Linked DNA regions of Drosophila melanogaster. The protein of the gene in region 1 interacts with the protein of each later gene in a pairwise test. Each region holds a gene or a part of one and is shown on either strand. Other genes may lie near its edges.

Region 1 (6,586 bases):
ACCAACATTAAGTGACCAATTTTTTTTAATTAGAATGAAAATGGTGTGTAGCCTTTCACGTACTAAAATCGACAGTAGATACGGACTGAAACATACTTGAAGTGAAAGAAATATGCTTTGTTTCTCACCACAAGATACCTATCTCCAAGGCACGGAACTAACTGCAACAGGAGGCTGGTGTAGGATCCCGACCAGATCGCTTGGTGATTGACAGCCGGGTGAACTCTTCGGCGGTGGTGGGGTGGATTCCCACCGTGTTCAGAAGCGTCTTTACGGTCAAGCCGGTCTTGAGGGCTGCGGCGAAGCCCTGGATGACCTCGCCGGCGACTGGGCCGATGTAGTGCAGGCCAAGGATCTTCTGGTCCCCGGACACTTCGGCTACGGCCTTGAGGTAGCAGTGACGCACGCTCTTCTGGGGAATAAAGAACTCTGTGGGCTTGTAGTAGCCGTGGAAGACCTCGATGTTGTCAGCACCACGCAGTTCGATGGCCGTTTCCTCCGACATGCCGACGCAACTGTATTCTAGCGGAGTAAAAACTGTGGTTGCCACGTCGGCATAGTCCATCAGCTGCGTGGAGCCGGCGAACAGACGCCTGGCAAGCAGGCGGCCCGACAGGATGGCCACCGGCGTTAGCTCTGGTCGACCATATATGATGTCCCCAACTGCAAATATATGAGGCACGCTGGTGGCCTCCGCGGCGTCTACCACAATCTTGTCGTCATGAGTCTTCACTCCGGCGGCGTCCAGGTTGAGGTCCTCGATGAGACCTTTGCGCCCAATGGCCCACAGCACGGTGTCGAAAACGTCGCTGCCGTCCATTTGGGTGGTTGTGTTGCGGTACCGAACTAGCAGCCGTCCGTCCGCCTGCCTCTCCACGGCCTTGGGGATTGTGGTGCCCAGGAAGGGAATGCCGCGCTCAGTCATCATGGCGGCCAGCAGCTCGGACATCTGGCGATCGAAGCCGCGCAGCACAATGGAGCGCACCATGACAGTGGGCTCGTAGCCGAGACCCTTAAGGAAACAGGCGCACTCGAGACCCACGTATCCGGCGCCCACCACAAGGGTACGACCCGGCTCTCGCTCGTAGCTGAATATATCGTCGCTGGTGATGCCCAGTTCAACGGCTCCGGGAATGTCCGGGTAGCGTGGCCTCCCGCCGACGGCTACCACCACGTACTCTGAGGTCACTTGACGGTGCTCGGCACCTGGCATCGCCACATACTCGATGGTGTGGCTGTCGCGAAAGGTGGCCATCGAATTTACGTACTCCACCTTTTTGTCGCGCAGGTCCACGCGGGTCACCCAGTTGACGGACTTGATGTGGTTCTGGACGGAGCGCACCAACTTGCGCCAATCGGGCCGTATGTTCGTGTCGTCTACATTCCAGCCGTAGGCCACCGCCTCGTGAACAGCCTCGCCCAGCAGCGAGGCCTGGTGCATTAGCTTCTTGGGGATGCAGCCCACATTCACGCAGGTGCCGCCGATGCCCCACTTGGTGCCCACTGGAGTGGGCTTGACGTAGTCGAAGCAGAGCACGCGGGCTCCACAGCCAGCAGCCTCCTTGGCACACGCCAATCCCGCCGAGCCCCCGCCGAGCACCACAAGGTCGTAATCATAGCGTGGTCTTGAGGCAGCAAGGCGGCACCATCCGAGGCTGGACCGAAGTGCGTTGTGTGTGGAGGATCGCAGAAACTTTATCGTCGACATATTGGACTGATAAATTGGACGGGAACAAATTTCAGGTCGAAAAGAAGGTAAACCGGAATTTTAGGACTCGGCACTGCCAACTTGTGAAATTATTAGACAGCCCAAAAAGCCAGGATGTCACAAAAACCATGCGCTCACTTACCGTTTCCCTAAAGTTAATAATTGCTCCTAATAATATATATTTCAGGCTGTTTAAGACAATAAAAATACCTTGGCTCAGATATCGTGATTTTGCTGACATTTCTTGCTATGAGGTTAAGTTGACCCCCATTTACGGTATTAGGCACATCCTGCCAAATCCCTCCGAATATGAAACGGAATCAATATTCCCTTCAAGTGGAGGGAGCTGGCTTTTAGCATAGATTAAGATGAAATAGAGATGACGATATTTCGTTTCGGAGCTCTGATATGCTCCGCTCTCTGGGGGGGAACTAGTTCAAGGGAAAAGGGGAACCTATAAAGGACACACAGGGATCCATATTTTCGACTCCAGGGCGATTGTCCCAGTAGTTCCTTGGGAAAAACGACGGATATCTATGCAAATTCCTCGACCACCAAAAAACACTTTCTTCCCCAAGAATTGGCCAAACCTTTGGCATATACATACAAATCCAGTGAAATGGTGAAATGTCAGTTTCAATGATTTATGCTTCTTGGCCATGGACCATTTGGAATTTTTGGCAGGCCGTTGGCAGTCAGTTTCCTGCCCTGCATCCCATCCCCAATTTAATGGCGCTCTGGTCTGCTGCCTGCCCAATCTCAATCCAATCCGGGGCATGTCCATGCCTTTCTAATTTCTAATCTAATATTTTTGCCTACAAATGCCGGACGACGGTCGGGTGAGGCAAGAGAAATTCTTTGCCTCGGATGCTTGGCCATGTCCAATGCCTGCTCTGGATATGATTTACTTTTGCGGTTTGTTTTTGGTGCGTTTAACCGCAAATATTTAATGGTTTTATTTCCCGATGCTCGACCGGCCCTCAGCTGCGATTCATTTGTACATGTCCTGGTCTGCGGTAGTGTGCTGGTGTGTGCGTGCGGGGTATCTGTGTGTCTGGTGTTTTCTGGCATATTTATTAGTTGAACCACCGACCCAGTGTATTTGTAGATGCGGCAAGGTTAAGCCCCTGACTGATGGTGACCCACTTAAAGGCGGCTGAACCTGTGCTCCGTCGTTTAGTGTCTGATTTTTTAGATCTTAATGGTCTGGGCCATTGCCATTCGTTCCTGAATTTCCTCTGCGGGATGTGGCTGCTGCTCTGGGAGAGCCTCGGACTGGATCCGAGGTTTGGGATCTCCGTCGATCTGCATCTGATACATAACGGTTGCTATAATCAGACTAAAGTGCAGCATGGTCAACAGGAATCCGAAAAGGACAAGAGAAGCGTAGTAGCTCCAGCATAGGTCGCTCCACCACAAGTGCCACACCATCTTCAGGTGGAAAGCAGCCAGACACTGGTGAAGGTAGCAGTTCCACATGAGAACAATCGCCACCAGCAAGGAGATGTGATAGATCTGGTTGTGAATTCGGTACATTAATGTGGTCCCCGAGTTATGTGGTCTTTTACCTGAAAAAATGCGGGGAGAAGCAGTAAGATGTTTACATATAGGTTAAAGTCCCACATGCTTTCCCCGAACTCCACTCCATAATTGGTTTCCGGTTGTAACGGAGCGAACATCTGGCCGATAATAGGAATATTCTGCCAAAGACTTGTCTGGGCTGTAGAAACTAAAAAGACTTCAGTGATTAGGAGATGGTCCTTACAAAGAACTTACCATTTATGATTCGATTGATTTCCATGCTTATGTAACCTACAAGTACGTTGTACACAAGCAAGTTTAGAGCAGGCATAAAAATCATGTTGCGGCTGTAAAAAATATACAATAGTTATATAAGACTTTGAAGGGTAGATCCCTTACTACTTTACTATATTGCTGACTAAAAAATATCGTTTTCTCTAGCTAGAACTTCCAAATATTGTAACTATACCCGTTACTCGCAGAGTAGATGTGTTGATCTCTTTTCACATTTTTATTAGTCTTGTAAATTTATATCGATTTCTATCGCCCATTCTTACACACTTAGACCGCATAAAACTGCCACGCCCAAATTATAGAAAATTTTTTCGATATTTTTTCATAATGTTTTAGTCTTGTAAATTTTTATCGATTTGCTAAAAACGCCGCTAAGCCGGCCACGCCCACACTTTTAAGCAATTTTTAAATTTTTTATCATTTTTTTCCCAATTATCTATCGATATCTCAGAAAAATTATAAAATTTTGCGTTCGCAATCACACTAGCTGATTAACGGGTATCTGATAGTCGGGGAACTCGACTATAGCATTCTCTCTTGTTTTCATATATTTTTCTTCACTTGCAGGTAAGTGGCACCTATCCCCAGAAGGGTGAGTACCGTTTATTCGCCTTATCTCGGCGACTAGGGAGATTTTAAATAAAGAAATTAATATCAGAAAATTCTCCAACAATGAAACTTTGCCATGGAAACGCGGAAAAACTCTCGGAATTGATGCGATAAAAGTTTAATTCCAAGTATGGCTGCCCACCACTCCTCTTCGACAACTTCGTAGGCCTAATGTGCTGACAATCGTTGGATTCCAGACCACTCAGACCTCAGACTCCCCCCTAGTATAATTTAAACTTTAAAATGACCGGGGACGATCCTAGGCAACAACAGAAAAGGCAGAATGCAATCGGGGGGTTGGAAATGTACGACGTAAACTTCTACAAAAGTTGTAAAAAATGAAAAAGTTCGCCAATAAACATTAGAAAAACTTTTGCGCCTCATCTGACCTTACCATTTTGTGATTTGAATCGCTCTACATGCCCACAAAATCAGTAGGCATATTGCGAATCCCTTTCTGCGATGGCACCTGCCTAGCGACAAGTTTATCAAATGTTTTCAAACTCAGCCAAATTAAGCCCAATCCCGAAATATCATCTAAAGTTATCATTATGCTTCTTCTGTCTGTCGCCAGGCAAATGACGAGGGCCACTTAAGGTTTGAGAAGGTCTGGAGCGATTTTGGCCGAGCCGTCATGGTAATAAGACAAACTGGTAAAAAAAACATCAAATATTAATTAAGTTTGCGCCTAATTAGTTTGATTCAGATCCAAAATGCTGCCTTTTCTCCTTTGCCCAGGGTTAGACATCAAAAAGGTGTTGGCTTTGGAACTCAGGCTCAATTTTGGCAAAAACGCCAATGAATTACACTCGCCTGAGATGGTTACAATTGCTCAATTAAAGTCTAATTACAGAGGAACCATGGAGCAAGGCGGACGAATCGGGTCAAAAGTTAAACAATGTGGCAAACAAAATATTTGACAAAACGGGAACGGCCAAAGCCAGAACTGGTGCGAAGGATGTCTAAGTGAGTTAACAAAAGGCAACATTTGTTCAAAAATTCTAACAATACCGAAAAAGCGTCTAGAGAACCCATGGTTTATTTACGTTTATTTGTCGAAATATTTGCGGATGGCAAACTTTTTGCAGCAATTATTTAATTTGTTGCCAATGCGAGGCATAATGTGTTCAATTCTTTTTCGATTTACCCTGTTGTGTCCGCCTTAAAAGCTGAGGAAAATGTTTCAATCCATGCTCAAATATTTAATTTCGTTTATTGAAGTATTTGCTCTTTGGTTTGGGCAACAAACAGTTTCTGAGGTGGTTGACTGTTAGAGGGCATTTTTGGAAACAGCAGCCCCACACACACGTGCCTTGGCATAAGCAACTTCTTCACCAACATTCGTTTTCAACGCAAGTCTTTTCATTCTAGTTTGCCTGTTTGTTTGTTAGCTGGCCCACTTGAAACGAGAATTTTATTAATTAATTTGAAACCGTTTCTATTGACGAGGATTCCGGAATTAGCTTCCCAGCCAGAAGGATTTTAGCTCGGCCTTGGATTAGTTTGCACAGGCAATGTGTTTTAAGTGTACATTTGTTGGGGTAGCATTTGCGGAATGGGATTCTCTAATTGATTTCGCTACGGTCACTGAAAACTGCTTGTTTGGGAAAGCCCAAATAGATTTTCGTCTTTTACATGTATTAATTAGAATTTTAAATCCATAGCTAATCTCAGAATAAACTATACCTATTTTCGCCTAAAACTGTTATTGATATTCAAATACAAATTTTTGTGCTGCCTTACGCTCTCAGGCAATAAAAGTGGGCTATAAAAAATTCCGATAAATTCATAAACCTAAATCCACAAAATTGTTTAGACATTTTCATAAAGTCGCTTTTACGATCCTTTTGTTGAGTTTCCTTCCCCTATGTTCGACTCCTCGCCAAATATAGAATAAACGACTTGAAAATGTTTTTAATTGCAGACGGATATTTTGGACAGATTACATAACTAGCATTCGAGAGCTCGCCTAGGCTCATAAAAGCCAACGCCCACACACAAATTGTTTGTTAGTGGGGGGGTATCATCTTCATAATGGCACATAAACCGCTTGGTATCCTGCATATATTTTCCGGTTATGTGGCCAGAAACAGCTACACCAGCCGCAATTAAAACCGAAGCTAGCTCAGCAAAATGCTGTGCGTAGATATTACCCTCCAGGACCCCGCCGCAGTGCCGTTCTCAAAATCAAGTGTACGACATGATAGCCACACTTTTTGTGTGTGTGGCATTGGTGAATCTGTTAAAGTGCGAGTTACAACACTTCCTGCTGGGCTTCCAGTGCGGCTTTCTTTTACGAGCACAGCACTCGACCGAAAAACACTCTCACACTTTGGACGCCAGTAAGGTGGAAGTGGAGCTGTGTGTTCACACTTGTAGTTGATTCGAAAAGAGCTTTCTATCGAGTTATTACCTTTTAAACTAAATATATCTCGAATTTCCTACAAATGAGTC
Region 2 (8,014 bases), on another chromosome or scaffold:
GAGGCAGGGAGTTTTCCACTGCAATCGCTGAATTCCAGACAATGTGCAATCAGAAATGCGGGGGAAATGTGCAGTGCAAGCCATTGCCACGCCCACACTGAAGCACTGGTGGCATCATGGCAACACTATAGAAACCAGAAACTGCCAGCCAAGCCTTTCTTTCACCATGACGCCTTTCTCTCTCTGTGTGTGTGTGTGTGTGTAGTCATGTAAAACCAACCATAGAACTCAAGTTCCAAACTCAAACTCAACCCAAGCCCAGCCAGACGCAACCCAATCCAATATGAGACCAAACTAAACTGAAGCCAACGCCAGGCGACGATGACATTGAAAGGGAAATTACATTTCATGTTTATTGTCTTAATAAAAATAATGTTTGCGCAAAAGAAGCAAAACAGTCAGGTTCTGCCGCCACCGCCTCGTATCTCGCACAAATCATCTCGGATTCAATGCAGAATGCAGATACCCAAGACAATCTCTGCCATTCGTAATGTATTTTTATAGCAAATGCAGCAAAAGCAAGGGAAACCAGAACAACATTGAATTATTGCTAGGCGTTCAAGGAGTTAAATTCACTTCAGCTTAATCCGCTTGAGATTCTTGATCAATACGTATGATTTATGTGCAATAAGAGACTTCCAGCGATAAAGTAATTGAAAAAGGGCACACAGTCAGCTTAATTAAACATTTTCTCTTATTAACATTGTAAGTCGCGGAACAAAAGTTTCTTTGTTAGATGATATTTCGCCTGTGATAACATTTTAAATGTTAGTTTAGTTTAGTTTATATTGATACAAATAGTATCATAGCATTTTAAGCATTTAAACCTTTTTTTTAGCCCACTTTACATCGGTTTCATTTTACGCTACTTGTTTGCTTTGGCTTCCTTTTGCTGGGTGAGCCGAAATTTAAATATTTGACATTTATTAATGTAATGAAAATGTCATTAAATAAACATGGCAAAATGAAACTGGTTAGCCAAATGTGCGCAGTCAACAGCCGAAATGAAAGCACTTGCCAAGACATTCCACCTGCTCGGATATTCCGCAAAACAAAAGAGAAATAAGGAGGAGTACATGGTACAGTGTACATACATATGTACATATGTATGTGACAAGACCTATGGAATATTCTCAGACTTGGGGGCAATATGGGATGGGGGGTTGGGTGGTGTGACCAGACCAGCATTATATTTTGGCTCTTCGCACATTCGTCCGCAGCATAAACACCTGGACAACACGTGGTTTTTTCGCCACTAGCTGAAAATGGCTTTGAAGTGGTGTGGGGCAAATTCAGCGGGGAGACAAAGGAATGCTTCTTCAAATTGGCTTTCTGGTTTTCGACCTGCCACCCCTACCCCCCCTTTCCAACAACAAGCAACCAAAGTGATTCATGTAGTGCCAACATATGTATGTACCACCCGACATTATCTCCCTGGAGGGATCGCTTTTCTTGTTTTTCCATGCCGGTTTTCCCTCGATGCGTGCCCGGTAATTTCTTTCTTTTATTTCGGCTGCTTATTTACGTAAACAATTTGAAAAATCATTGAATATTTAGTACGCTAACGAAATTGTGCAAAAAATACCAAATGGTCTAATAAAAACTAAGAGTAAGGTACAACAACACTTAACGATATGGGTTTGTTCTAAAATGGACAATAGTTTTGCATTTCGTTTTTAACCCATAATAAGCCGAAACTTTGTGTATCTATGAATAATTGAACAAATCAATCAGAGAACCTAATAAAGACACGAATAAAACCTTAAATTATTTACACACTGCCTTTTGAACGGAACGAATACCCCCAATCAACTATGAATAAATGCCAGCATATGAACAGCACGAAAAAAAAACTCAATTAATACACCTTGAATGTGAAAATAGCTGCATGGGGCTAAATAATGTACGAAACAAAACAAAACCAGCCAAACGTTCAGTTTAGCGAAAAAAAAAATCAAAATTCATGAACATACGTAGGTTTTGGTAGTGAGCCAGAGCCAGACGGACATTCAGATATTCAGACGGACGGACGGATAGATATGTAGATAGATGGATGTATGGAATAAAGTAGAATAGGTAAATGGATAGTATGCATAGAATAATAAATAGATGGAACCGCCCGCGCGGGCATCATAGACAAATCCCCAAGGAAGGTGGAAGGTGCGAGGCGGGGCTGCCCAGTTCCATATGTAAACAAAATGCAGGCCACCGTTGCCGGTTCGTATCGGGTACGTATCGGGCACGTATCGGTTAATCGGTAAATCGATTCGTTCTGGTCCGCTTCGCTTTGGGTCGGCTAAAGTTAATATAAACAAGCGGGGAAAACCAGAGACAGGCCGTAATTATTGGACCGCATGTAAAATAGTCTTCTTAAGGCTAAACAAAAATTCTTAAAGATAGCCCTCACTAGAACCGAAATGAACTTGATACTCTGCTTTTGCGTCTGCTTCTGCTTCTGCTCCTCTGCTTTTTTTTTCCGACATTCGCCGCTGTTCTCTTTCAGCAATTGTGTGGAAAATTGAAAATCAAATGAAATGCGGTCGCGCGAACAGTGGAAAAGCGACGGAAAACCTACGACGAAAACGGCAGGGGGAAAAAACATAAGCAACAATGTCAATATGGCAGCACTGCAATCCAATCCCAAGTCCATCCAACCGACCCAACAATATGAACTATAAAAGCAACACGAAAATATCGAAGTCCGCTTAACTAGAGGGCAAAACAGTAGAATGCAGCACAGAGACCTTGTCCAAAGTTGGAAAATGGATGGTGGGTGGCTCGTGGGTGGCTGGTGGGTGGATGGTGTCCCGTGCAATATGAAAAGAGAATACATAAAGCCGGGCAAAAAAGAAATGTGATTGTCCATTTTGTGGTTCTATTCAAAGACGAGAACGTGAACGAAATAAAAGTTTCATTTTTAAAAGCGCGGACTCAAATATATTAATATTTTCGAATATCGCTGGTAAAACCCATTTGTGTCTTGTGGCTAAAGGACCAGCAAAGTGCCCCTTTCTGAGATCCCCTAATTTGAAGAATTATCGATACATTTCTCCGATAACTTTACCATTGATTTAAGTCGCCTCGTATTAATACTGTTTGTTTCCATTATTGCGGCTAGGGTCTGGCTTTAGGGTGAACTTGGAAGGGGTAAAAGTCAGGTGGTGGGTGGACGAACACCCTCGCCCTTTGGTGGGTGCACTTTTGTTTTGGGTGGCGGGGCAATTAGGGGGCGTGGGATAAGGTTAGTGGGTGTTACAGTAAGCCACAAACAATCTGCTGTTTTTTATTTATTCCCTTCCTCCTCTTGCTCCACCTCTTTGTTTTGCTTTGTTCGGTTCGGTTGTGTTCTGTTTTGCAATTTCTGCTATCACAGCTGCAGTTTAACCATACTTTCCCCCATATACATATGTATGTATATTTTTTGTATTCCTTTATACTGGGCTGCTACGTACATAGGTGTGTTAATATTATATGTGTGTATGGGTGGGTGTGTGGTTGGGGCAGGGTGATTTTATGGGCGGGGTACAACTTATAGGTTAAAAGGGCCTTCTTTGTTTATCATTATGCTTATTGTAGGGGGTTCATTCTTTTAGATTTAGAGGGGTTTTTTCGGGGGGCTGTACTCACCAAGTGATTGAGCATAAATCGCTAAAAATATCGAGAGGAATGAAAGAGCGCTAGCCAAGAATTTTGCCTCCATCTTTGGTATTGATCCGTTGTTGTTGTTGGTTGTTGTTAATTATGCTGCCGATGTGTGGTTGTTGTTGTTGGCGGTGACTTGTTGTTGTTGTCGTTTTCGTTATTTCCTTGTCATTTGCATTTATTACAGATTTGTGAATTTACTCCGTTTAATGATTGATTAATTATTTGTGGCTGTTGGTTGGTTGGTTGTTGATGTTGTTGTTGGTTGTGGTGTTTCTTTTTCTTTGCTTTTCTTATTTTTTTTTTTTTGTACTTTAAGCTTAACTTACTAAATCATTATGGTAAATATTAATTTATAAATAGATCTTTAAATGTATACGTTATTAGGCTTAGTTATTTAATTTGATATTAGTTGATGCTGTTGATGTTGTTGGTTGGTTGTTTGCTTTGGATCTTCCGTTTGGTGTTTTGCTTGAGTGCGAATTTTTCTATTTTTTGGCTCTTCCAGCTTTCCTATTTTGTTCTTAATTCATGAAGCTATATTCGCAAATAAAAATATTTAAGAAAATTTCTCATTTTGCATTTATTTTCGTATGAAGGCAAACTTTTCGTGCGCTTCCCCGTATTCTTTTTGTTGTGTTTTTCGTTCGGTTTTATTTGTATGCTTTTTTCCAACAACAAAGGCAAAAGGAAAGACGAGTGAGAGAAAACTTTTTAAAATTATACATCAATATTCAAATTAAGAAGAGATTGTGGAGAGGAGCGGAATCAAGGATACAAAAACAAATCGAAAAGATCAAAATCAAAACGAAAGCCGAACGAACAACATTCAACATTCAGCTAAATGTATAATTTTTCAAATGTCACATTTAATTTTTTTTTGTTTTATTTTCACTGCAGCTAAGCACGTGCTGTTCACATAAGTGGGGCGGCGGGTGGTTGGGTTTTTCTTTTAGCCCGCTAATTTAACGTTAACTTTTGCAGTTCTTTTTTCACACGCACTCACACAAACGCACATCTAACTTTTCCCAGTCCAAAAGTTCTATTTTTTTGCTGGCTAAGCAGAAAAAAGAAATTATGGCACGTTGACGACGAAAATACTATTTTTCTGGCTAGCCAACGAGCAAAAGAGAGGGAGATAGAGTGAAAGCAAGAGAAAGAGAGTGAGGGATTCTTGAGACTGAGAGCAAATAATTATGTTTTACACAAGGAGCGCAACAATTTCTAGCTGCTTTTTAGCCAATGGCCATTGTTGTTGCTGCACGTACTTGTACTAGTGTAGTTGTTGTTTCTGTTTGGCTGTTCTTGCACAACGGGAACACAAAAAGCAAACGAAATTTGGCAAACGGACGGGCCAAAACGAGGCAAACAGAACAGAGCGAACAGAGCGAACGCGGCGAATTCAGCGAGCAGACTGAATCGCACACATGACCAACGGACGAGAGTAGCCGCCTTCGCTGCGGCAGCGACGTCGACGCACAGTGATTTGGGTTCAGTTTGACATACACTTGTCAGCTTATCTAAATAGTTCGGCCGTTATCTTGACCAGACCGATTACGAGTACTGTACAAAATGGCGAAAAATAAATCGAGTTTAAACGACATTTTTTCATTATACAGGAATCTTTAGGAATTTGAAATCACCTGTTTTATTTAAAACAAAATGCAGAAGCTAGGTCTGACTTCAAGCTACTAAATTAGCTAGAAACTTAAAAAAAATTTTAAAACCATAAATTGAGTTATTAATCAATATTTGCTCTTGGAAACCTTATCTTACAGTTCAATAGGAATTTCCCAAATTGACGGAATTACAATGTACTTGTGCTCGTATGGGCCTGAAAGTACGCTACTTTTATTCACTTTTCTCTCAGCCTATAGAAGCACTTAAGGAACAGTATCAAACAAATTGCAATCGAGCAATGATTCAACAAAAATCACCAAGTGACAGAGTCTGCGAGTAATTACGACCAATTATTTGACGATCGAAGAAAAATAGCATTCCATTTGCTTCACCGCATGACGTCCGCATAAAAGCTGATAACAATTGGCCCGAGATCTATTATTACTTCTAGAATTTCGTATTGCGGATGTGTCGAGAAAACAACTATTCCCACTCTTATCAATGCGGGAGGACAGTCACCGAGTAAGCAGAATAGATAAGAAAAAAAAAAGGGTAGAAGCTATCACCAGAGCTGGCCGATTTCATTATCCATGAACATTAGCTTTAAAATTCCTCAACTGACGAAAGGCATCAATGTTTGAAAAACAGCTAAAATAATAAACCTTACATAAGAATTAAAATTCTTACTCGTTTCTATTTCCCCCCAAAATAAAAGCCATAAAACACGTAAACATTTTTGAAAGCAATTGTGTTATACAAGGAAACAGCTCAAAAAAAACTAGTCAAAATAAATTCTCAAACTTTTGGCAATAAAACCGTCGAACGGACAACGCTAAATCATAGTGCGCTGGATTTTTTGTTTACCGCCAGACGACGTGCGGCCCTCAGCAGAGCAGATAGAACGCCAGTTGAAATGTTTCCGTAACGTGTCACGAATCCGACTCTCATTCTATCGCATTAAGATAAAGCCCCAATGCAGTACTTTGAACAAATACGGGACTCCGTCCGTCCGTCCGTATCACCAACACCAATACTACCGCAACCAAAAACCACACCAACGTCTTGGCCACATGATATAATACCGTAGCCGGAGCATGGTCGACAACGACGTCAGATGTCCGCGGCCCAGTCGCCGAGTCCCAAAGACCCAGACCACCAGACCGTCCAAACTGACCGCCTCTGGTCCATTGCCGTCCCGCTCGCACTGCCGCTCTGGTTTCGGGCGGTTCTATGCGGTTCGCACACGAATGTAGATCTCCATCTTTTCGGAAGGCAGGGAACTTTGCTAATTCGGCATGGGTGTTGGAAAGGTAGGGGTTTTTTGCGGGTTGGCGGCATCGAGGGGGGTTGTCTCGTCGCATTTATTATTGGTCAGCCGTATTTATTTTTACAAATTTGCGAGAGCAAATATGAAATCAGCTGTTCGCATTGCCCGCTGAGATTAAAGCGATCAGGGGGGTATATAGTATTTGATGAGGTGTTTCCAACAACCAAACCATAGAGAACATTTTGCAATGCTTGCAATGAGTTCATAAATAATAAAGAAGCAAGAAGAGTCATAGGACTTGTAGTTGACAATAGAAGTACTAATAATTGACAAATTTTCCAAAGTTCTTGCCAGTTGATAAAGCGAAAAATCTATTACTCATAATTGACGTGTTCGCACAAAATAAAACTGTCGACAGATAATGTGATTGATGAAATATTTAATATACTATGTACTGCATTGGCCACTATGCCTTTATAACTAATAATCTTGAAATTTAGAGATTATAGTGAAATTTATCAAAAAACGACCACATGGTTCATGGCGTTTACGTGTTAGACTTTCAATTTAGGTATTATTATTATTCCATTAAATTTAATTACCATAACCACCTAATTTATTCTCACTGATGATAATTTTCCATTAGCTTAAACTAAAATCAAATTAATGGCAAAATATATAGCAATTTAGCTTTCCAATGTGATAGCTAGAGCACGCAAACGAGTTCATCTTCATCGATATCGTATCGTTTCAAATTAATTAGAACTCAAATCAGATTTATCACGGAGTGAGAGCATCCTACACAAACTAGTTTTCAAAGCCGCATTTTGGTGGACAAAGGGGGAGGCTTGGGGGTGCGGGCGGCGGTGTTGTGCGGCATGTTATCGATTTGGAGGAGAAACAAAAAACATTGCTATCGATTTGCTGCTGGCCTCGAGGTCAATCGAATGCTAAATGCCATGGTAGTCGTGTTCGGGCATTGGTGCCAAACTTTTGTTCCTTCTTTCGCGTTTTATTGGCAAACTTTGAGCATAAACACTTTGGAGACAAATTGCCCTAGCCGCAAGTTAGGCAGCGGACTATAATAGAGTAGAAAAGAGCAGCAGCATAACGTCATCGTCAGCCATGACTCAGTTTATTTGCTCTCTCGTACGCTCGCTCAAGACCCACACACACCAACGCACACTCCGACATTCAAGCGGCACACACAAACGATGCTGTTCTAAGCCGAGGCCAAAAATCGAACCTCGGATGACCGATAAAAAATGAAATAATAAGCGGGCATTGGGAGAGGGGTGTCAATTTAATTGCCTTAATTAAAAGGCTTAGAAAAACAAGACTGAGTTCCATCATCATCGCAATCGAATTCATGCGTTCCTCTTTATTTCGCCAACAGGGTTTACTTAGATGTGTGTATCTCGGTGTTGTCATCAATGCTGTGTACAGTGAAGCCGTCTTCAAATCGAAATAGATAGAAAACGGTTA
Region 3 (6,535 bases), on another chromosome or scaffold:
TTTACCCCATGAAGAGTACTATATCGATTCCGAAGTACCACATTTACCAAGCTAAGAACTTGTATCGTAAGTTGTTTAATAAGTACTACCCGATGCATGACTAACAATGTTATTCATTTAGCTTTGCGCTCGGACATCACCTGCTCCCACCCGCACACCATCTTTACGGTGTTTAACAAACACCAAGTCAAAAACTCCCACGGATCCGAGGTCACAACTTCTCAGCTTCAGGCGAGGACACTGGTCAAAGCTTTCGTTGTGGCAGCCGCTCGAGCAAAGCAACTGCATGGGGATTCCGTAGGAGCTCTTCCCAAACCAATTGTTGTGCAGAGCGTCCAGACTGACGGTAGGACGTTCCACTTCGGAGTGTTGCAGCTGAATACCCTCGATCTTGGTGCCAATAGCACTGCCAAGAACTATTGGTTCCATAGGCAAAACTACAATCTGTTTGCTGAATGCTCTTATGAAGGAGGGCGAACGCATTTGGATAATTACAATGGCGAGGTCTTCCGCATATTTAATGCTTTCTATAACAATTCCTAAAATAGAAATCTTACTGAATAATAAAATATGTTTTTGTTATGTCTGTATATTATTTTATTATTATGTATTGCCTCTTGCCTCCTTCTTTACTTAAAATAGCTAGAGTGTCAACACCGGGTGATTTAACAAGGTGTGAATGCCTGAATTATTTGGCGCCTTGTTATTCCCTTTCATCCACAGGTCGATATCCAAGCCCCATCCCCAACTATTTCAGTCGACGCCATAGCAACCAGGATGCACTGAATTGTTTATGCATCGATGTATTGACTGCTAATAGAGACGTCAAGCAGTTTTCTCCACCCACACACATTTAAAGTTTTAAAAGGCAAAAACTCGCTACCATGAGTAGGCAAAAGCAGAGTACCAGCTCCAACAACAGTGGCACATCATCGGAAACCAGCGAGACGCAAAGTGTGGATGACCAGCAAGGTACTCCGCATTCAGCCATTCGTTCGAGTAGTGCATCATTGAGTAGGTGGGTAATAGGGTTTAACTTATAAAATACCTTACACATTATTTTAACAAATAAAATACCTCCTCTTTAGAGCCAAAAACAGTTGGAGACGCATGAAGGAGCTGGCTGCGGAGAAGGAAAAGGAAAATGAAGCCAAGCGACCTCCTTGGCGGGCAGTTAGCGTTTCCACGCTCACCAAGCCCGATAAGAGCGCCTTGCTTCGGGCCAAGTTACTGGATGCCTCAAGGTCTTTAAGCCAAATCATACAATTTAAATAGTACTTAGTGTTTTTCCATACAGACGACTAAGAGCTGGCAAGGCTAATGTGGCCTTGCAGACGGACTTTGTGCCGACGAAGCTCATGAAGGAAGTCAGTTTCGGGGTACAGAAGGATCTTATTCTACTCAAGGACGTAGGTATTCTCACTGATGGACAGTACTCCAAAAAGAAGGATGGCTATGAGAAGTGTAAGTTTTCAGTTAGATATTTGGTTTAGTTAAATGTAACCCAAATACTTGCAGATGTTCTTACCTATTCCATGTCCCAAATGACCGATAGTGTGCCTACCGTTTCGCGACAAACTCAGACGCTACTGCCGAAGGCCTATAACAAGGACCTGGTCAACTCCTATCTACCCAAATCCGATGAGGATGACAGTGATGGCATCTCCGATGTGGAGAAGAGACTTGGTGATCAGATAGCCAAGATACGGAGGCTCAACTTTGATGAATCGAATCTGTCGAGGGGAAGTGGGAGTAACTCTATATTGGCTCCTACTCTAGCATCCTGGCATTTCGATGACGATGCCGTGGAAATGGAATCTGAGCGGCATTTTATACCCTATACCATCGAATCGTTTAAGCCTTGGCGCAGCTTCGTTCCCTTTCCCTTTCGATTGAGGGGTAATGCTCTGATTGGTACGCAGAAAATAGATTGGTACGCCCTGCTGCAGTCCATCGATGACCTGATCAAAGAGTCCAACCACTTGGTAGACAAACTGGAACACATCATGATTGAGAATCAAGCGCATCGCAGGTCGGTTTTGGGAAAACTAGGTAAAATACCCACCTTTCAACCGACCAAGTTTATAGCCCCATCGGAGCAGTGGTTGCCCCTCATTGAACAGCAGGAAAAGCAATTGCAAATTATTTTAAGCGGCAATGAGGCTAAGAATGCCTCCCCAGAATAGACGTACTCAAAAATCACAAATGCTTACAAAATATTGGATCTATGGTTAAAACTTCTTACCAAAGAAATTATATGGTAAATGGCCTAAGGCATTGTTAATTGTTTTGGAAAAGCTTATAAACGCACAGAAACTAGTTGAATAAAGATAACACAATGGAGTTTATTTATATGTTGGGAAAATATTTGGTTGTATGCAAATGGAGAACAATTTTTTAAAATTTCATAGAACAACATTAACTAAACCTTCTTTTCTCGGGAAATTCCAGATGATTTTCCTTTTCCTTGTGGGTTTTTCTTTGGCATCAGCTTCATTAGAATATCCGTAGCTGATTTACTGTCCAGCGGACAATTGGAGTACACCTCTTCACAGGCTCGATCATTGGCTCGCTTTCCATGCTCCAATGCCTCCTTAATAGCCGTTCCATCGAGGAGGTAATCCACCAGGGCATTTCTGGAAACAAGTAAGTCAAAAGCAAATATTGTGTGCTAAGTACCTTGGAGTTAAAAGCCTCTACTCACTCCGCTAGCATATGAATAAATTCGTCCATCTGGTCTGAGGAACCGATCTTCATATTATACTCCGTAGAGCGAACATAACCGCACACAGCACGTTGCATGCAACTCGTCGAGTCAATATTATTCTGGCCCAGAACATCGTCAATCTTATTGATCATGCTGCTCAGTGGTGTTAGGTCACTGTCCTCGCCTAAAAATGACCGAAAATTAACTTTATTTTTGAATTTCCATAAAAGCATTTCACTCACTGCGGCCGTAGCCTCCATAACCACCATGGAAGGCGGATAGAATCTTAGGAATCAGTATAATGGCACCTATGCCCACAAGAGTTCCTAAGACAACGCCACCCAGGTCCAGTTTTATGGGATTGTAGGCGGATAGTCCAGTACCGCCAGGATAACCCTAGACAATTTAAGTTCACAGATCAATGTTAGTAGTTTAGCCCACGGTTTGGAGGTTCTGATGTAGTTTACGCACATTTAGGGATCCGTAGCCAGTGGTATAGCCCAGTCGTTCCAGTCTATCCTTCGTGGAAGCTGTCTGCGGTTCACTAGGCTGGGTCTTGTTTTCATTAAAGTACGACCTATCCCGCTGCGCCTTATCCGCATAGAACCTGAAGCCATTCCAAATGAGTATCGTATATGGGGTACTAGAATTGACTTACTTATGGCTATCTTCGTATTTGGGGATTGCACTGGCGTAGGTCAGCACAACCAACACTCCCAGCAGCTGCAGTATGACAATGTAATTTCGGTTCATTGTGCTCTTTTAAGAGGGTATCCTTTTGGGTTTCTTTTTTTTTTTTTGTAAATTAGTAATAGTCCTTTGGGGTTTTTGGCTCGTGGCTCCAACGTGTCGTTCGCTCTGCTCCAAACTAATATTTCCAGCAGCAGCAACTCCACTATTTATAGGAGTTGCCTAAAAATGCAAGCAATTTGTTCAAATTACAAAATGTCAAGCAGCGTGCGGATTTGAATGCCGTTTATGCGAGTATTTGGGAAAAAGTGAGGAAAGAAACGCATTCTAGCAAAACGAATGAACAGGTGTTTGTAACCATATAGGCACTTATGTCCCCATACAAGCACAGTAAACAACCCCCCCCCAATGAAAGACCATTCATCGTACTTATGTCGCTGTAATGCGCAATTTTCATTGCATACTCAATTATTTAACAAAATTATCGCAGACACAAAAAAAAAAGTGGCGAAGACGCCAACAAACAACCACGCTGGCTGGGCGGATAAATTGAGCAGCCATGCATCTGAAACCAAAAGTCGTATATCTATGTACTCCAATGGATCAAAATCGCGACTTGGGAACGGAGACACATGGAAGTGTTTGCACCTGCGCCACTTGCATCATTATGAGGGGCATCCGACCAAGAGATTTCTGGTATTAAGTCACTGACATCTTGCCGCTCGTTTTATATCGTATATATATTCAAACGGGCCTAAATATATGGGCTCTTACATTGATATTTATAAGCTAAACGTATATTGCTGAATAAATTTTTGTAAGTTATCGTAATATTAAACATTAAATAAGCATATCAAGAAATATTAATACTAAATTCGTTTGAATAAGGTCTTTTACATTCATATTTTTTAGATGCATAGTTTCAAAAATAATCTCTTAAAGATCTTACAGATCTAAAGATTCAACATCGTCAGGGTCGCCAGACAATGACCTCCATATATCACCTCATATTAAAATAATGAATGAATTATGTCAGACACGAATACTTTTATGGACAATTAGTAAACCTTTTCAAGTTGCAGACCTAAAGTAATACCTCTTTATAGATTTATGAAAATCAACATGTTGCAGAAATGTTGTGCCACCTTTTTCATTTAATCAAAGAAGATTTGTTCGCTATATTGAATCCTTTTCGCCAATTTATTTTCTGCTAATTTTTCAATGTCTATTAACACCTAATTAATACAAAGCAAACACTAAATTCCAAGTCAGTGCTCAATGACATTTTTGTTCGCCGATTAGGCTGACTTCGGCAGCCTTGAAATTACGAATCATTCATTGCCTCTCGTTAAGGTTAATGTCATAAAGAATTTGGTTTTTTTGAATTTCTGCCATGGTTTTGTTTATATACAAGCAAACACCTACACACCCGATTTAAAATGTGGGTATAGGATGATGTGCAGTTTATTTATATGTTCACGAATACATGTTTCCGATCTTATTGTAAGATGGTATGAGTAATCTGGCCTCAAACTGTTGGAAAACAACATTTATTTTTATCTTATTTTCATTTTTGTATTTTCTTAATAATTTATATCCAGCTATTTGTGTGGAAAGCTCTGTGTCCGGTCCACAGGTGATACCCACTGACCATAAATTGCTCTCAGGATTTTAATTTCACGCCTTATTTGTTTCAAAAAATGCCAAGCTCATTCATATCAGTTTTGGCTAATCAATCTTTAAACAACGGTGATGCTTTGAATGCTGATATTTTGAATGATGGGAATACGAATTAAGCTATAAACATTATTAATGTCTACATGTAATCATACTGCTAAATGCCAATTAAATGTAAAAATATTGAAATTACCATAATCAATAATTGCTCATTATATTGAGAAATTCTTGTGGCAGATTTATAAATAAATAATCCGCCGAATGTTTTGATGTTTATCGACCCATATTTAGCCTATGCCAAATATTAGCCTTTCCTCCATCTTCAGATGCCATCATCATCAATTCGAGTCATATCCCATGCTAAATACAGATTCTAATCTTATCTATAAAGTTCTGGAAGAAATCCGTGACGTCTGTTTTCGCAGATAAGGGCTCTATATCCTGGGAGCACTAGACTCGGTACATTTCATGTGTATATAGGCTTTTCCGAACGCAACTGTATGAAAAGTGCTGGCTTTATGTAAACAGAATTCGCTCGCTCTTTTGCGAGGAGAGATGTCAATGTTTCTTAATTCCAAAAATAAGTTCATTTGGGAGATGGATAGAGAAAGAGGTATGGACCGAACGTGCGAGAGAGAGCGGGATCGAAGGCTGTGAAAATTTTGAAAATCAAAAAATTATAAGCAAGTGCTCCGTGCGATTCTCAGGCAGATCAACTCGAACGGGCGTCAAGTGAACAACACGCAACGACGATATATCCGAACCAAAATCCAACGAACAATTCTATTTGAAAACTCTCAAAGCATCCAAATCTAAAAATCTCAACATGGTTTACGAAAGTGGATTTACGACCCGCAGAACCTACTCCTCGAGGCCGGTGACAACTTCCTACGCAGTTACGGTAAGCCCTTCGAAATAGAATCTGAACTTTACTTGACATACGGTAGTGTGGTTTTCCTCGATTTAAATCTGTGAAATATATCTGTGCGTACAGTTGCCAAACTCGAAACTTAAGCAGTTCAAGAATAAACTAACCTGTGATTGCAAAAAACGCTGAGGATAAATTTGACAAATTTGAAAGCAGTTAACTATTTGCTGTTAGCACTTAGCTAATGGCTAATCGAATCTGTAGTCACAAGAATTCAGTTTTAAGCGCTTGTGTCCCACTTGCTGTACTCAATGGTATCATTCTGAGAAGCGAGCAGATTACTTGAGAAATTGAAACACGTTTGAATGTAAAGTGTCTACCAATTATGAATATCGTATCGAACTTACAGTACCTAACTAGCTGGTCTTTCGCAACGGAATGTCCTTGTGCTCAGAGATATTATATTTAATGATCACCTAGACGTTCTGCCCATGTTGTACATATATAGCATTTTCAGGTTCAGTGTAAACATTTGTGTAGTAATTCATACATAAGCCTATTTCTAACAATTTAATAACTCTCACACAATGGTT
Region 4 (9,907 bases), about 20 Mb from region 1:
CTAACCTCTATGGGTGAAGTGGTTGGTACATCATAGTCCTACCACTTCTAACTATTTCTTCCTTGCAGACCTCGTTTCTGACCTCCTGGGGACCATCTATAGTGGTGCAGCGTATCCCACTGTGCCTTGCTACGACCATGTTGTCCTGGTCAGTGTCTACATGACTCTACCCATCGCATTCTACCAGGGAAGCTCAGTATATGTCCTGGGAATGGTGGTATCCATAATTTATATCGGCTACGCTTTCTATATGCAGTATCTGAACGATCAAGTTTCCTTTTACCTACTCGCCTCCTATGCTATATACCTCTTTACCCTCAACCTGATCTTTTCATTTTTCACTATAATCAGGGACTACGGCCTTAGACGAGCAATACTTAGCCGCTACCAGTTGGTATACCAAAATATTGTCTATCAGGTTCGCCATCCAGATTTATTATTTCCAAGTGATTAGTATATAAGATCTCATCTTTCTTATCCACAGTTGGTAATGAAGAAGGAGAATGGCTTGTTAGAGTCAATTTTACCACGCAAAATGATACGCACATTGCAGGAGGAAATCTGTAGTCGAATTGAGGATCAGGATAAGAACTTCACTCCTTCTAAGGCGGGCTTACGGTGCGTATGCGCGATGTTCTAAAATGCATTTACTGTTAGTTTTAATTGCAGAAAACTGTTCCTGGAACCCTACCCGAATGTTTCCATTTTGGTAGCAGACATGGTGAACTACACGCATCTGACCACCACTCTGGAGGCACCGCAACTGGTAGAGATTCTGCACGACCTGTTTGTGAACTTTGACCTGGCTGCCAATCGCAACCGAGCGATGCGGATCAAGTTCTTGGGAGATTCCTACAACTGTGTGGCTGGCATCCCGAACTACTTTCCCGCCCACGCTTCCTGCTGCGTTGACCAGGCGCTGGAGATGATCCATATCACGCAGGGTGTGAGTAGCCGGCGCGAGCTGGACATTAACCTTCGAATTGGTGTGCACTCGGGTGAGGTGTTTGCAGGAATCATTGGGCACACCAAATGGCAGTTTGACATCTGGTCCAAGGACGTGGACATCACCAATCGGCTGGAGTCATCCGGGCTGCCGGGACTGGTGCACGTTTCCCAACGGACGCTGAGCATGCTGGACGAGCACTATATATTCAGAGAGGGCACCGAGGCAGCCAAAAATGATCCCATCCTGCAGCAAGCGGGGATCCGCACCTTCCTGGTCAGCAATCGACTTCCTGATGCAGTGGAGCCCGGCGAACTGGACGACGAATTGAGCAGCGCCTCCATAAACTCATGCCGCCTGAGCTACGGAGGATACTACGAAGAGATCCAGATCAAGGCGCAGCGCGAGATAATGAAGGAGGTGGATCAAATGGCGGTAGGGCACTGCTTCATAGAATGGAGACGGAGCAGTTCGATGAAGAAACAGGACTTCAATGAGGAGTACCTGTTTAGCAACCAGATCCACCTTGTGCTGGGTGTGTTCCGCAGCTGGAAGAGGGAGTGGGAATTTCATAACCTGCCTGACCTCATGATTAAGTACACCATGCTCTTAGTTCTTTGTGCTGGACTGGCCATAATGAGCATTAACTTAATCGAAGAGTAAGACGACTCTGCTAGTTAATCTGCCAAGTACTGCACTTTATCTCTTGATCCACAGAGCTACATACCCTGATATTCTGGTCTTGCTCGGAATTCTTCTCATACTACTGATCCTGTGCATTCTGGCTGGATACAAAAAGCTTCGGCTGCAGTGGAAGAAACTAACGCCCATGTCGCAGCCCTCTTGTTTCCTGAGTCGATGGCTTCTCAGGATCTCGGAAAGAATCGAGGACTCTCTGTTCGTAAGGATTCCATTGACCATGGTGGTACTGCTCCTGCTCTACGTTATGTCCTCTCAAGCAGTGGTGAGTATTTATAATTTGTGATCAAAAACAATGCTCTGCATATCCTTTACAGTTTTCCTGTGATGTAGCGAAACTGGAACTGAGTATTATCGAAGCCCATCTCTATAATGAGAAGTCGTATGCGGAGTGCTTCGGTCCATGGGTTGGTTTCACTATCTACAATTTTGAAAACTAGAAAACATCTCCTACTTTTAGACTGTCACTTACTGTGTGGTCATCGTGATCAGTCTTCTGTTTGTCGTCCCGGGATGTCCGCTGGTGATAAAGATACTCGCCGGCCTGCTCATCCTTGGACTCCACTTGGGCACCGTCCATTTATACTACGGGTTCGCCTTTGAGAGATCGGAGACCACTGATCTGGGACTTAAGTCGGACTACGCCCACACCTGGTATCTGGTGGCTCTCTTCATTGTTCTCGTATTGCGGGAACGTCACGTTAACTACCTTCGGAAGTTTAACTACTTGTGAGTGTGTGTAGATCTTTGTGTATATCGGTTCCTCATTCCCTTTTCAGCATGCGCGTTTGCTACGAGGAAGCCCACCAGCAAACTGATGAAAAGCTGCGCTCCATCAAGATCATTATGGCTAACATCCTGCCCACCCACGTGGCTCAGGTGTACAAGGTGCGACGACCCCACGACCAGCTCTACTACGAGAACTTCTCCAAGGTGGCCGTGATGTTCGCCTCCATCGAGAACTTTAACGCCGACACGGCGGGCCTACGGATCCTGCACGAGATCATTTGCTGCTTCGACGACCTCCTGGTTGACTACCAGACCAGGTACAAAATCGAAAAGATCAAGGTAATGGGTTGGACCTATATGGTGGCCTGTGGCCTCGAAACGGACCACTACACGGACTTCTCCATCGACATTCCGGTCAAGCAACCGGAAGCTGATTCCGAAATTAGACGAGGATCCAGCGGTGACTATTTCCCACGACTAGATTAGAGTACAATTGTAAAAGGTACATCTATTCAGTTCTGACTGTCCATTTTGGAAGTACCGAGGACGATGAGATGAGCGGCGATAATGTCAGCCAGCCCTACGCCCAAGTGCAAGATGTCGCCGTCCTGGTGATGACCGAGTTTGCCCTGGACTTACTTCGCATCATGCACGACATTCGGTACAACTACGTGTTCTCGGAGTACGATACATTCTTAACGGGGAGCTTGAAGATAGGTGGGCTGCATTACCTTCACCGTTATCCTAATCCATCCAATGATATCTAAGGCATCTCCCATGGATCCGTGATGGCCGGCGTTGTTGGACTCTCGAAACCACACTATGATATCTGGGGTCATACCGTCAATATGGCCTCCCGGATGTCCTCCACTGGATTGCTGGACAACATCCAAGTAACTCGGCACACGGCAAAGGTGCTGCGACAATTTAACATCCGCTGCAACTACCGAGGGCACACGGAGGTAAAGGGAGTGGGCAAGGTGCCCACCTACCTGGTGGTCGTAGACCCGGATCTCACATTCCAAGATCACGACCAAGTGAGCATGAGTATGAAGGACTCAAAAAGCTGGGTCATCGACACTCTTTCACTGTCATTCACCCCGAGCTTCGTGCCCCCAAAGTCTTCCACTTCGGATGAAGAGGAGGCTGAAGGAGAGCTCGAGGAAAATGTATCTGAAGGCGATGAACTGGAGGTCTCGATACATGAGCGCCAAAAGGGAGGCATCTTTCTGGCCGGGAACCTTCATTAATTTAAATTTATTTTAATAGATATATATATATATATATATTTATTTAAGCATATATAACACACATATATAGATGTATTCGTACAGTTCAAAGCAAATGTTTTTCTTGAGGTTAAATACGTTATGATTTGAGCACTCGCTGAAATCATTGCACAACTGGTGACCAAAGTATACGTATGTTCATAATTCAGAGTCATACATAGTCGTTAGGTTATGTACATGCTACAGATAATACACTCATCTTGACGAATCTCCATCTCCATCACTAAGAAAGCACCATCCGTGTGATCAGGTTCGGTTTCGTTTGGTTTTGTGCACAGTTTTTAGCTTAAGTAAGCATTGCAGTTGATTTGGGGCATGGGCATAGCCCTTACTCGTTGACAGAACTGGAGTTCAGCAGAGCCGTGTCCTCGGGAATGGGCTTCCGCTTGTAGGAGGGCTCAGTGGCTAGGTAGACAACCAGCGCCCCGAAGACCACGTACATTACTCCAATCACATTGGCCAACACACCAGCCGGTGGAAGAGTGGAGTAAGCCGGAGTTTTGCTAGAAATGTCGTCATGGATTAGTCAAGTGATCGATCTAGAATGCATATACACCTACATGGCGAAGATGGCCTTCTCGGTTATGCCCATCAGGGCACTAGCAATAGCCAGAACGAATCCAAAGAGTCCGAAGTAGATGTGCAGCGGCATCATGGCGATCCTGTAGTTCTCCCTCAACCCCGGCGCCAAAAAGGCCACAAATCCGGCCACATACTGCAGCGAGAAGACGATCACCGCGGAGAGCCCCAGCCAAGAGTGCAGGGAGTACATGTTGGGAATGGGCGGATTGGCCAAGTTGTGGGAATCGAAGACCGTCTTCAGGGCAATCACCGTCAGAATGAATGCACCCATGTGGATGCCGGCGTGGGTAAGCTTCAGAGTCTTCTTGCGCGTGGTGCGGAAACCACGATAGATCAGAATGGCTGTGGGATTGAATTGAGTTGGATTACCATTTCGAAGCTAGTCAATGGGAGTGGCGTGGCACCTCTTCCGCTGCATTTACTCACAGTTGCCATACAGGTAAATGAAGCCAATGGTCATGAACAGCGGATGCCAGTTGAACTCCACGCCGGGATTTGAGGTGCCGGCCAGACCGCCGAAGTGCTGGCCAATCCAGGTGGCCACCAGGACGATCATGGTCAGGCCGCACAGCTGGGTGAGCACATAGAGCACCTTAAAGTTGATCAGCGCTGGATCCATGTTGGCCTTGCCGCTGCCTGAAAAATCCAATAAAAGCTGGGGATGAGCTAAAAATAGAGGCCATTTTACGCACAGCACGCATTGGCGATCTAATCGCATAACTCATTCAAGGGTAGAGATATCGGGGCATCGAAAGGGGAAGGGGATCTCAAGCACTCGTTTATATTTTCCATACTTTTGGTTTATAGCCTCTGCTACGTAAACATGATTCAATTACATGTTCCACCTGCCCGCAGATTAAAATAACCCCCAAGCACTTGCTGATAACATGCGACCAGAAGTTTAGGGAGCCAATAGGCTTCCCAAAAACCCACTTTAACAGTTGTACATCTGATCCGCTTCGATGGCAGCTGCACTCGTTGGGTAAACAAACAGTTCCTTTGCCGCCAGCCATCCGATACTGCGATAAACAAGATCTCATCATATCGACTGGGCCCTGAGTTAATGGGAACGGCCTGTTCCCAGGCACTGGGACACACCCACGACCCCTTTCGCCGGCCACTCACCAGGCGTAATTTGGCTAATTCATGCGTAAACATTTGCGCTTGTTTACCCAACATTAATTTTCAACGCCAGAGCGTTCTGCCCACTTTATCTGTCGCCTTATCAGTATGTTCTCCAGATAGTCCGAACATCTGATATTAAATCGCTTTAAATAGCATCGTACAAGTTCCTCGTGCTTGATGTTGCAGCATGATACATTAAATAAATTAAAGTTCGATTCATTTTACGGAACGTACGGGTAGTGAAAGTAGCCGTGTTCATAGTTTGGTATAGTATAGATTGGACTTGACTAAGATAGTTTAAAAGGCTAGTAAACTTGTAGGTGCAGATGCACTCGATAAGGGCCGCTATCAGCCGCCCTAATTGGCGTTTGGTATGCAAATGGTGTTTTAATTTCGACTCGGGCGAATAATAAGCAAATGAGCCAAACTGCCAAGTGTTGGCTTGTAAATTGGCTGATAAGTGCGCCGGAGACACTTGTAGCTGGCAATCGCAATTATAAATGCTGGTAACTGGCAGCAGCCACGCGTCCCCGGTTACTCAATGGGCTCCAGTTGGAGTGCTCCATTTCGACGCAGCTCTGGGTTCCGAGTGAAATTAATTGGCACATTAGCTGTGACTATGACTGTTAATTATTAGGGTTAAGTGGGCGTGCCAAAGACGCTGACCAGCAAAGCGTTGCAGCAGATCGTGCGCAAAATTTGAAATAAACAATCCACATAGGCGCACCAAAAGACCGAAAGTAAAACCCGGGCAGATGACTTTGGATGAATTTGGAAAAGCGTACAAGTCCGAAGACAGCGGAGCAAAATAAATAAAGTCTGGAAAACCAAAGTGAAATTCAGCTGGTTACTGGTTACTGGTTACTAGTGGCTGCTTGCTGATCGCGGATCGTGATGCCGATGGTGATGGTGAAAACCGCGGCGGGGAAAGGGGACGGCTGCAGTCTGTCTTTCGGTGCGTTTTGCTTTAACTTTTACTATAACTAAACACTCGGCTTGTTGGTTTATTTTACTTGGCACTAATCAAACTTGCAGCCAAAATCCAATGCCATGCACAGTCTACCTGTTGGTGGTGAAGTTGCCGCCGCCGTTGGAGTGGCCAACTCAATGCCAGCGATGGTTGTTGCAGGTTGCACTTGTTCTGCTGTCGCAGGTGTTGCAGTTGTTGCTGGTGTCGCTGCCGCTGGCTTTTCCCCATTAGTCACCGCGATCACTGTGGTCGCCGTGGAGATGGTGGTCGGAACGGCGGCCTGTGGCTGCTCCGGAATCGCTGGCTCCACCTGGACAACTCCGCTCTCCGGCTTGGTCGCCTGCTCCACGTCCGCGTCCTTCGACATGGTCTGTGCACTTTAAATCAATAATTCACCAATGGTTCAACCACAAAAAGACATGCAACGTATAATGGACGGTGTTAATTGCCCTAAGACACAGCACAAAAACACTGGTAAATGCTAGTAACTAACTACTAGTAACTAATCCGCACGACACCCCGTTAATACAACCGAACACTTCGGCGTGCAATGCGCAACTGAATTTAAAGTTTTCCAGCCGCCGCCCGGCGATGGTTAGGAAAAGCTTTTTCCGCTCGCAAATCTCTCGCATGCGACATCGCACACACATATTGCTCATTTCGGTGTGGATAATTGTTTGGTTCTCGATGCGGATAGGATTCCAGTGGGGTTGGGTTTGCTTTTGACTTTGCCTTTGGCTTTGGGTGCCAACGAATGCTGGTTAGTATGCCGGACCAGGTCGATCGCTTCTGGTTGGGAAGGGGGTGCATTGATGATTATTTGCATTTCGCATTCCTCGGATCTATTCAAACCATTGTCACTGCGCGGCATTTCAATTGCGACTTTGACTTTGATGTTCTGTGCATAGTAATGGGATGGTGCAGTGGAACTGCTTCAATTGGAACTACTTTTTGCCAGAAGGAGTGGAATCCAAAACGTAAAAGGGTTTACAAAAAGTTTTTGGGTAAAATTTGTTAGTAACAACTATTTCAATATTGTTCTTAGTTTCGAAAGTACATCTACAGTAAAGTGAAACCTTTAAGGACAACAAGTAGCTTTCCCTCTTAAAGAGCTTAAGTTCATGCTGTGCAATAATGACTGTATGTGCACTTCAACTCACCCAGTGAGAACAACATGGCGTATACTTGATTGATGCTTCACTCTGCTCAGATAATGCCTGTTTCAATACCGCCTGCTCTTATCTTTAGCAGCAATTAGTGACTTTAAAGCGATGACGATGGGTTTTTCGCGATTACTTCTGATTTTCGTGGCTACTGCCACGCACTTTACTCTACTTGTTGAACAAACTGCTTAAAATGCAGGAAGCTGGGCCTTCCATATGGAGGAAAAGCCGTGGAAATTCTGCACAGGCTGCGTGGGCGTGAAAGCCCTAAAGCCCCGCCCACTCTGCCGCACTTGGCCATTTCATTTGGCATTTCCACGAGCTTTTCGTTGGAAGCTCAGAACTGTAAACGCCGAAGCACACATGCAAACAAACTTTCGGGCTCACACCACTGTAGAAAAACCACTTGTTGGATATTATATTAATGGAAAGCCACAACCAAATTATAACTGTTTGTAAACTACATTTAAAGACGTAGTTGAAATAGAAACAGGTAAACTTACAGATTTGAAATGAATCAGTAATCCAATAATGTGTTTTGTTTGGAATATTTCCAAAATGTCTTCAACGGAAGAGGCAAGAACACAAACAGAAACGGCACAAACACAAAGAGATAATTTGGCAGCATAAGAGAGCGGAATGCTGTGCGAATTTACTACGTCAGCATTATTATTAACAAGTTAAACTTAAAGCGGCACATTCATTGATACTTAATTTAGTACAGCAAGTCAAGGACACGGTCAAACTTTCACTATCAAAGGGTTTTAAACTGTAACTCGATCTGTTAACCGCTTCGATTTTCTGTTTACTCATTTGGAAAAAAGCGGGACAACCAGGGATGCGAGAATCATACTGTAGCTGCGTGTGCTGAAAAAATAGTGTGCATTTAATATACGTTCACATGATGATAGAAAGTACTGACTGTGTGAGTTTTAATTTTAAAAATTTACAAACTTTATATTCATATTTAACTAGAGCTTGGAAAACATTTACTTCGAGACCCTGGATTCCCTTATGCCGCCAGTGTGGCCCATTGAGCACGACTGAAACACGCTAACGCCTTTAGCTCGGCAGCACTGGCAGCTCCAACAAAAAGCTTCAATTTAAAATAATATTTAGGTAGTCCCACAATAAATGCTAACAAAATGCTCTCCAACCTGGTGGTGACCAAGCAGAAAGTGGTCCTCGTAATAGGTGAGTACACACTGACTACCCCATCGTCTGCCAAATAATGCGACCACCAATCTCCCGCCTCATCCACAGATGAGCTAAATCGGGAGCGCATTGCCCCCAAGTTCATCGGCAGTCTGCTGCACGAGCAGGGACAGGGGGCGGATACCATCAAGGCCCTGCCCACCGGCGTCAGCCTTAAGCACGTGGCCACCTTCGAGGCACTGATCGACAAGTACGCCAACAACAACACTGGGAGTACTACGGATTCCAACTCCACTGGCTTTAACGTCATCCTGCCAACATTGGCAGACCTGCTGTGCTACCAGACGCCTGCTTTCATATTTGGCTTCCTCAACCGCCTACGCCGCTCGGACAATGTGCGTCGGGTTTTCCTTTGGGCCTCCCCGCAGCACCTGCAGGATCCGCATGCCGACTACATCCTGGCTGGCTGCGAGTACCTGGCCGAGCTGGTCCTCCGACTGGAATCGGACAAACTACTCTCGCTGATATCACGCAAGCCGGGCGGAGGGGTGTCCAACAGGCGCTACTCCTGCGAAGTCAGCAAAACCCAGTTCAAGGTGACGCCGCTGGACGGAGGACTGCCTGCAGGTGCCTCCCCCAAGCAGCCCTCGCCCGAGGCGGAGCAGACCACAGAGCCGGCCAGCAGCACCTTCAAAATCGAGCTTGACGAGGATGAAGTGTTGGCCCGCAATGCACTCACCCTGCCATACGAACGGTGAGTGGTAACCATTCTCTATGCGTTACATCTCCTTATTGATATGTTCGTATATATGATAGCACATCCGAGCCGTCTGAGGGAAACATAATATACACGCCCGATGCCGACGACGATTTCGACGAGGAGGATCCGGACGAGGATCTGTGCATCTAGGCTGCCCGCCAGCAGCGAACGGCAGTACAAATAGCCTTGGCTTTAAGTCTCCTTAAGTCTAACCTACTAAAACCATAAAATACCTGGAATTCCGGCCCCAAAGTTCCGCCTAGGGGTGTGTTCAACCTCGCCAGAGGAGCAGAATGAATCTTTGAACGACCACTTAGTACACGTAGAATTGCTCATTTATTTTGGATAACTTGATATGTGAATCAAAAAATCGAAGAAACTTGTGAATACATACAACTGATTCAATTGCTATCTGGTGGTGCCCTAGCTTATGACTTAGTTAAGGAATTTCATCTAGCTAACCTTATGTACAGTTAACTCTCGATTACC

The links.
Region 2: the proteins of CG11404 (region 1) and Bsg interact in a two-hybrid assay, tested with the Drosophila melanogaster proteins (one large-scale study listed by BioGRID).
Region 3: the proteins of CG11404 (region 1) and Desi interact in a two-hybrid assay, tested with the Drosophila melanogaster proteins (one large-scale study listed by BioGRID).
Region 4: the proteins of CG11404 (region 1) and CG1275 interact in a two-hybrid assay, tested with the Drosophila melanogaster proteins (one large-scale study listed by BioGRID).

What each region holds. Positions count from the first base shown.
Region 1 is NT_037436.4:22,545,443-22,552,028, reverse strand, and holds CG11404 (uncharacterized protein), read right to left. Parts: upstream 3,593-6,586; 5' UTR 3,570-3,592; coding exon 3,485-3,569; intron 3,438-3,484; coding exon 3,277-3,437; intron 3,224-3,276; coding exon 2,900-3,223; 3' UTR 2,687-2,899; downstream 1-2,686. Other genes in the region: Trxr2 (thioredoxin reductase 2), read right to left, coding at 158-1,708.
Region 2 is NT_033779.5:8,085,350-8,093,363, reverse strand, and holds the start of Bsg (basigin), read right to left. Parts: upstream 5,061-8,014; 5' UTR 4,848-5,060; intron 4,755-4,847; exon of another isoform or gene 4,659-4,754; intron 4,262-4,658; exon of another isoform or gene 3,971-4,261; 5' UTR 3,701-3,970; coding exon 3,628-3,700; intron 1-3,627.
Region 3 is NT_033777.3:10,776,617-10,783,151, reverse strand, and holds Desi (desiccate), read right to left. Parts: upstream 3,584-6,535; 5' UTR 3,461-3,583; coding exon 3,366-3,460; intron 3,315-3,365; coding exon 3,179-3,314; intron 3,104-3,178; coding exon 2,950-3,103; intron 2,892-2,949; coding exon 2,705-2,891; intron 2,637-2,704; coding exon 2,423-2,636; 3' UTR 2,327-2,422; downstream 1-2,326. Other genes in the region: mRpL37 (mitochondrial ribosomal protein L37), read left to right, coding at 1-66, 122-543; CG42633 (uncharacterized protein), read left to right, coding at 885-1,018, 1,089-1,244, 1,298-1,464, 1,519-2,186; CG45078 (uncharacterized protein), read left to right, coding at 5,901-5,975; fau, read left to right, coding at 5,901-5,975; CG45076 (uncharacterized protein), read left to right, coding at 5,901-5,975.
Region 4 is NT_037436.4:2,249,106-2,259,012, forward strand, and holds CG1275 (uncharacterized protein), read right to left. Parts: upstream 8,319-9,907; 5' UTR 8,007-8,318; intron 7,708-8,006; exon of another isoform or gene 7,517-7,707; coding exon of another isoform or gene 7,501-7,516; intron 6,906-7,500; exon of another isoform or gene 6,718-6,905; 5' UTR 6,708-6,717; coding exon 6,434-6,707; intron 4,882-6,433; coding exon 4,672-4,881; intron 4,588-4,671; coding exon 4,224-4,587; intron 4,167-4,223; coding exon 3,992-4,166; 3' UTR 3,639-3,991; downstream 1-3,638. Other genes in the region: CG32305 (uncharacterized protein), read left to right, coding at 1-13, 69-418, 485-618, 670-1,605, 1,664-1,910, 1,963-2,052, 2,106-2,374, 2,425-2,834 and 2 more; Elp5 (elongator complex protein 5), read left to right, coding at 8,649-8,697, 8,767-9,412, 9,475-9,568.